2 linked regions of the Bombyx mori genome follow. The protein of the gene in region 1 purifies or fractionates together with the protein of each later gene. This does not show direct contact. Links are inferred from orthologs where the notes say so. Each region holds a gene or a part of one and is shown on either strand. Other genes may lie near its edges. The genes, in order: RCC1-like G exchanging factor-like protein; pseudouridylate synthase TRUB2, mitochondrial.

Region 1 (3,514 bases):
CCATCCATAAATTAATACATTCCAGTCTGTTCATAACAGAGTCTGGTAAAGTGTACGCGTGTGGGTGGGGAGCCGACGGTCAGACCGGACTGGGAAACTATGACAATCGATCCACTCCTACCGCTGTCATAGGCGATATCACCACGGAGAAGATTGTCAAAGTCGCTTCCACTGGAGATTGTGTTTTGGCTTTGAACAGTGAGTTTCAGACAATTTATCAGTATTATATTATGACTTAAGATGTAATATGGCTAAAGTAAATGAAATGTGATACTCCTTAATTTAATACAGGTAGGTACCACCACCTTGCCTATTTCTGTGAAGCAGCAATGCGTTTCGGTTTGATGGGTGGGGCAGCCTTTGTAGCTATACTTGAGACTTTAGAACTTATATATCAAGCTGGGTGGCGCATTTACGTTGTGTATGGAGTCTATGGACTCCAGTAACTACTTGACACCAGGTAGGCTGTGAGCTCGTCCATCCATCTAAGCAATAAATAAAAAAATAAAAAAATACATGACACATTTGTACATTAAATTAGGGTTTATAAAGCAAATATCCATATTCAATATTATAAATGCGATAGTGTTTGTTTATAGTGTTTGTTTTTTACATTTTCAACTCATGTATTGCAGAATGTCTAACTTACGGTGCTCATGTGAATTAGTTGCTGGAATCTCACAGTAATGATGAACGGCTGACAACTTTTAGTGTGAGGTCGGGCGAAGTCTCAATTGTGTGGTATTGTCCGTTGGCTACGCGGCAGCACTGTGCTCTATACTAGAGCGAGCTCACCTACTCGCCCTGTTTAAATTTGTAATTTTACTGATTTTATTTCTACTCCACATTTTTCGTAAAAGTTGCAGTTTTACAAAAAAAATATTAGATAAAATTCCTTTGATACGAGAACGCCGGGTATAAAATCCAATCTGTATAATAATAATAATAATATGTCTACAGACAAAGGAGAACTGTTCGGTTGGGGCAACTCTGAGTACGGGCAGATCCCGATGGCGACGACACAACACCAAGTCAACACGCCCTACGCGCTCCTCAACTTCACCAGGGGACTCGGCAGGATTGTGGACATCGCGGCGGGAGGATCCTTCTGCATGATCGTTAATGGTTGGAACTATAACATTTCTTTTGAAATTATACTTCTTTAGGCGTGTTATGAAAAATTGATGAGAGTGAAATTTTACAATGCGCGCGCACCGTGACACAAAATTAACCGAATGGAGTTGCCCACTAAATCGCTCATTACAATACGACCGACGTAACTTGGCGAGTCTGAATATAGCCGCAGGTGAACTTTCGCGCATGTACACTAGTAATAAAATGTGTTATTAGCATTCATTTTTTAGTAATATAAATGACAAAATTATCATTTAATATAATTCATACTAAATATTATTAAATTATTAACGTTAAATATTTATTATTAATTATTTATTAATAAAAAAAAAAAAGTAAATTTAATAAAAATAAAGTATAATTTCTTACGCGCGTACATAAGTACACGCACCCTTTTTAATTCATTGCGGATGTCTGTCTGTCAGAGTATATCGACAGACGAGTTTACGGCCCGCTTTATATTACCGTCGCGCTCGACATATTGAATGAAGAAACCGAGTACTGCTCTTTACACTGTGGTCCTAAACTGGAACGCATGACTGCTTCATAGCAGTAATAGGCAGGATAGTGGTGCTGGGAAAATAACATACATAATTAACAATGAACCGATATTTCTAAGCAAATTGATGTCCATGAACATTAGATTAATGAACCTAACCTAAACGTCAACCCGCTGAGTTTCTTGTCGGATCTTCTCAGCGGGTTGCGATTCCGATCCGGTAGTAGATTCATTCGCGAAGCAGTTACTATTGAGTTGTTAGATCTCTTTCAGAGGCGCTCGGGTAGCTGTTAGCAAATACTACCCCTCCTGGCTGAACCCTTGCTCGCCCGCCTGCCCTGGTAAAACTGGAAAGGCCTCCGGCCCACCAGTAATCTCTCAAACATAAAAAAACTAGGTTAATGTATCAGGTGAGAGAGGTGAGAAGGCAATCTCCTCCCGGTGAAGGTCACAGTGCGACCTGAGAGGATCGATGCTGCGCCGTACGCTACCGTCACTCCAGCACGTTGGGCCCGTGGTCCGCTCCCAACATCTGCAGACCGTTCAGTCCCACATACACAGCGCGCCCTCTAGGCGCGTGGAACTCGTAGAAGGGTCAGCACGGCCAGAAAAAAGCTATCGAGAGGGAGACTAGATTACACTTCGACTAGAGGAACTGAACTTGTTTTATAAAATATTTACTATTTTACTTCCTTTTCAATATCTTTCACAGACCAAGGAGATGTCTTTGTCTGGGGATTCGGTCTTCTAGGACTTGGACCAAACGTGCAGCACACGGCGACACCTAAACAAATACCACCAACATTGTTTGGCCGAAATGAATTCAACCCTGAGTGTGTGGTTAAAAAAATTTCCTGTGGAATCTCCCATCTCGCAGCTGTCACTAATAATGGTGATCTTTACATGTGGGGCAGGAATAGGCAAGGCTGCCTCGGTTTGGGCAATACAAATGATCAGCATTTTCCCTTAAAAGTGGCGATTGGTGCTCATGTACTTAAAGTGGCTTGTAGTGTGGACCATTCAGTTGCAGTTTGCAAACCGTTTGTTTAGTTAAGACAGTTCTAATTATTACCTAATTTAGCAATAAAATATTTAGTAAAATTCTTTTTGTTTTTATTGTATTACTAGCTGACGCGGCAGACTTCGTAGTGCCTTAATCGATAAAATATATAAGACCTAAGCTTTTGTATAAAATTAACTTAAAGCAATCAAAAGGGATCCGTCCGACGGGGGACACATCGAAGGATAAAAAAAATTGTTATTTTCATTTAATTCCGAGCATTTTCATATTTGTCTACCTTTTAAACCTTCTCTGGACTTCCACGAATAATTCAAGACCAAATTGGTCCAGCATTCTCGAGTATTAGCAAGATTAACGAACAGCAATTCATTTATATATATATATTAATCTAAAGTTTTTGAGAGCCTCTAAACATTTTTTGATAAATTACGATATCTTAGAGTAGTCTCTATTTGTGTCATAATAATTTGGATTCATTGTTAATATGCTGCAAATTATGAGCTCTAAATTAGATAATCTTTTGCATTCTTGTATCTTGATTAGTTCTTCAGTTCGTTTGTTGGTAATGTCTGTTTCAACTGAATAGTGAAATAATATTTTTTTACATAGTGAATTTCATGATCATTTAAGACACATGTATAGTTAAATTACAATTTCATTGTCAATGAAAGAATATGGTAAATTTAACTAACTTGTATTTCCAATCATAAATATTGCTGGTGCGCAGGGTAGTGAACATTTGGGTTTAAAGGGTAAGACTTAGGAGGCCTAGTAGTAACCGAGAGTTTATACATTATTTACATGATAAAAGACAGATTTTCACTACATATTATGTCCTCTTCTGTTTGCTCTAGTAATGA
Region 2 (3,935 bases), on another chromosome or scaffold:
CTTCCAGACAGTAGTGCAGTGTATAGTGAGTTCATATGGCTAGGTATTATTGCACTCTCTTTATTTTAGATGTGAAGGAGTAATGCAATTCCATCTTAAAGAGTGGGAAGGTCATTTTGCAAATCATTTGAGAAATGTTGAGGTGGGTAGTGGTATTTATATTGAGCTATCTATGGGCCCAGGTAACCATTTAACATCATGTGAGCTTTTTTCTCCTTGTGAAGCAGTAAAATATAAACAATGTGGTATGATTTAAAAGTTAATTGTAATACAACCTAAAGTAAAATTAGGTGAATCAAAATGGACACATTTGATGCCATAGAGAACTGGAATTTTGGAGTTAGCCGGTCTGATTGGTCCTTCTACTGCTAGATCATACATTGTCTGAGAATCCATGTGTACACCCGATAACCTGAAAGGTAAAAGAAATTATGGACAAACTTAGTGTTGTCAGTATATGCAAATGAAAATTACACTTTTTATCTGCTTGTTTTATTTTTTAATTTCATTTTTATGTACTTTGATAATGTGGTGTAGGTATATTCAGGCTTTCACTTTCATATATAATGATCAAGCATCTAGTGTATCAGTGGCTACTGCTAATCTGCTTACTCATGCTTATAATAAAAACAGAATGGAATGGCTGGACTAGATCATTAGTCAAGTTGTAAATAGTGACGGTTAAATTTGTACTTGTAATTTATGCTGAAGAATCTATCCTGAAGATTTTACACATCTAATTTATGTATACTTACTCATACATAGCTTTTTGGTGTGCTGCCTGCATATGGGCAACTACTCTGTCTATCTTCTCTCGACTAACGTGTTTGTGCATAGAACGTTCAACAGTCTTGCCATTCCAAAAATATGTGTCAGTAGCTTTACCAAGTTGCCCATGAAGTTTGTATGCTCTTGGGAGTCTTGCTGTGTTCAACAGATAGGTCAGTTTTGTACCTTCATTAATGCCTAACACTAAAAGCAAAAAAATAACAATTGTCACACTTAGTGAAATTATATAGTGATAGTGAAATATTTTCTTCTCTAAAAAAATTTTCACTAACAAACCAAAAGAAGTTAAATTAATACATATATATATCTAATTTATATTTATATATGTTTTGTTGGTAGCCTGATCTCAATAAACCAAGCTAATTAAGTTATTATGTTGTCATTGATCTCAGACAAGTGAACAAATTTCCTGGTTGGACACCATTTGAAAAGAACCTCAAATTTTTAGTGTGTTATAAGTTTAAAAAAGTAACATTGTATTCGAGGTAGGTTTCTTCACATAAATGTTAACTTACACAGAACTCCACTGCTGAAGAACCCTAAATGAGTAGCCCAGCTGCAGCGAAAGTCTTCGTTTATGAACCTAGGACCACAGGCTAGAGGGTTGTCTGCATAGTTAGGCACCAAACACACACTCATCGGTTCGTTTGTGGCCCCTATAATCTCCACTCTTTTCTCTTGAGGACCATTTGGTAATGCATTCAAGTCTGGAAAAAAAATAGTTTTGCTTCAACTTGGATGGGCTTTGGTCATTTTTATGGTCAGATCGTCTCTCGTCAACTAATATCTTTGACATCGAGAATTCAAAATCTTTAAATTTTATATTCGTTTACGATTAAAGTAAATCTAGGTGAGGTGTATAATATTGTTTAGTTATATACGTGAGATTTAACATTAGTTAGAAAACTAACCTCTACATAAATGAGTTATAATTGTATGCTGCACTTGTTTAATGGTGACACATGGTGGTTTGTAAACACAAACCAAGCCATTTAAAGCTTTATACGCCAATGCTCCAGTACATAATTTCGCCATTTATCATGCCAGTTCCCAACAAAGTTCTCAGTTGAACAAAATAATCAAACTTCAAATTTTTCAAAACATCTTCGTTTTCGGTTTGATTTTTTCAATTGAACTGGTAAAGGGAGAGTAGCACACACAGCTTTCTCGATTTGAAAATTAAATAATTATGGGAGCATTTCGAGAACTTCATGTTGTTAAAACGTTCCATTATGACTTAATAATTTAAATATTGTCAGAAGACTGTTGAATACACGTTCTGTTAAATATACATCATTTTTTAAATTACACTGCATTACTATTTATTAGCAATATCTTCTTTATCATGAGACCAACAAACGTCGGTTTCTGGACACAGGGGTCCATTACAGATAACATCCACTGGATTCCCGCGACCTTTATGCCGGCCACTGACATTCGTACAATGTACGAATATTTGCGCGCATGTGAAGGGCCGTCAAACATTTATTCGCAAACCTAGCGGCGCGGCTGTGCAAATGGGTTCGCATACTCAATTTGCGAACCCGTTTGCGCTTCCTTCTACACTTGTTTACGAATGTCTCACGAATTTCTCCTCCTTTTTAATTCGTCAATAGAACATTGAAGAGAAAAAGAGTTTTTAATTCTTTCCCAGACATCATTAACAGCCATGCTGTTTTTATGGGATTTCTTTTGATGAAGATACGCTACACAGTAGACGTCCCGAACTATGAAAATGGCGTATAGTATACGTCCGTTACCTTCGCAATCGTCGGCGCAACTGGGCAAGCGAATGTGTGGGAGACTACGCGAAGGTTCGAGGTTCGCGCGCTTTGATGTCTGTTAAAAAACCGACACAGCTTGGAAAACCACGAATGCAGCGAAAACTTTGCATAATCATTCGCAAATGTCGTCCCACACTTGCGGGTTTGCGTATTCGTGAGCATGTGAGTGACCGGTGTTAGTATATTGTCGGATCACCTTCTGGGAGTCATAAAAAAGCTGTCACTCGGTGCGCGATCACCATTCACGCAAATACTTTTTTGTTTTAATTTTATTCTATTATGGAGTTTTTTTATGATTCGTCTGAAAATAGAGATTGCCTAATTAGTTGTATGTTTGACGATTTTTTTTCTATTTAAGCTGTTATTGTAACGTTCATGCCAGAGGGAGCTGTTGATAGCCGGAAACCAAGTGATTTTGGTGGAATACTGACAATGCCAGCACTAAACAAAAAAATGTGTGCGTGTACTAGTGTACACACGTAAGAAGTGAAACTTGTTTATGGCCTTATTTTTCGAAAAATGATCTACATGCAACTTTCTAGAAATTGGTTAAATAAAGTTAAATTAGATAAAGTTTAAACAAAAGGATTTTATTATCATAGACATGAATACAAAAAAGTTAAATTAGATAAAGTTTAAACAAAAGGATTTTATTATCATAGACATGAATACAAAACAGATGGCGCGTAACGGAAAAAAGTGACGCGTAACCGAAAAATGTGACGGTAAATTTTTTTCCAACGCCGATAAGGAAGTTTCACTTCAAAAATCCTAAGGCGTTCAAAACTAAACTTTTTCATTTTTTTGTTCAAACGTGGTTTCACAAGAATACTCGGAGGTATTCATTATGACGATGATGATGACTCGGAGGTAGGCATTGCTAACTTTTGTACATGACTACAATAAAAATTTTGAATACATAATTTTGGAGTATTTGTAAATGTGTATCTTAAACTTCGGGAGACAATTTTTTTTGTATTAATTTTACTCTTATTTTATTAAATACTAAGGCAGATGGTATAAGTACTAGCACTAAAGAACAGCTGACATACCTTGTTCTATGTATTGTTTCTTCAAATAATCTGTGATCATAAATGTCAATTGTCATTGTCACGTCGTCACGATTTACTCAACATGTCAGTTGTCTTTTAACTACCTAGACGGGAGCGGCGAGCAATGGCCGATTGAAAGTCTCGCCACCGTTGATATCACTCGACGGCATACGTGTTCCATTATTGTGTTCCAACAGGAATTAATTCTTCCCGTGTTTTATTATATACAGTAAGAGTTAAAAAATTTAATACGTTGTGGTTTTATGAATAGTGTAACAGTTTAATGTGTAGGTGTTCGTGAATTCGTCGG

Evidence for each region.
Region 2: the proteins of RCC1-like G exchanging factor-like protein (region 1) and pseudouridylate synthase TRUB2, mitochondrial purify together in Homo sapiens (affinity purification with mass spectrometry; 3 studies listed by BioGRID and IntAct, with this or other methods). This does not show direct contact. The link is inferred for Bombyx mori from reciprocal best matches to the Homo sapiens genes RCC1L and TRUB2.

What each region holds. Positions count from the first base shown.
Region 1 is NC_085111.1:18,483,841-18,487,354, reverse strand, and holds the end of RCC1-like G exchanging factor-like protein, read left to right. Parts: intron 1-25; coding exon 26-198; intron 199-960; coding exon 961-1,125; intron 1,126-2,345; coding exon 2,346-2,683; 3' UTR 2,684-2,734; downstream 2,735-3,514. UniProt on the Homo sapiens protein: Guanine nucleotide exchange factor (GEF) for mitochondrial dynamin-related GTPase OPA1. Activates OPA1, by exchanging bound GDP for free GTP, and drives OPA1 and MFN1-dependent mitochondrial fusion. Plays an essential role in mitochondrial ribosome biogenesis.
Region 2 is NC_085121.1:542,998-546,932, reverse strand, and holds the start of pseudouridylate synthase TRUB2, mitochondrial, read right to left. Parts: upstream 2,174-3,935; 5' UTR 1,825-2,173; coding exon 1,701-1,824; intron 1,497-1,700; coding exon 1,305-1,496; intron 973-1,304; coding exon 756-972; intron 413-755; coding exon 276-412; intron 1-275. UniProt on the Homo sapiens protein: Minor enzyme contributing to the isomerization of uridine to pseudouridine (pseudouridylation) of specific mitochondrial mRNAs (mt-mRNAs) such as COXI and COXIII mt-mRNAs.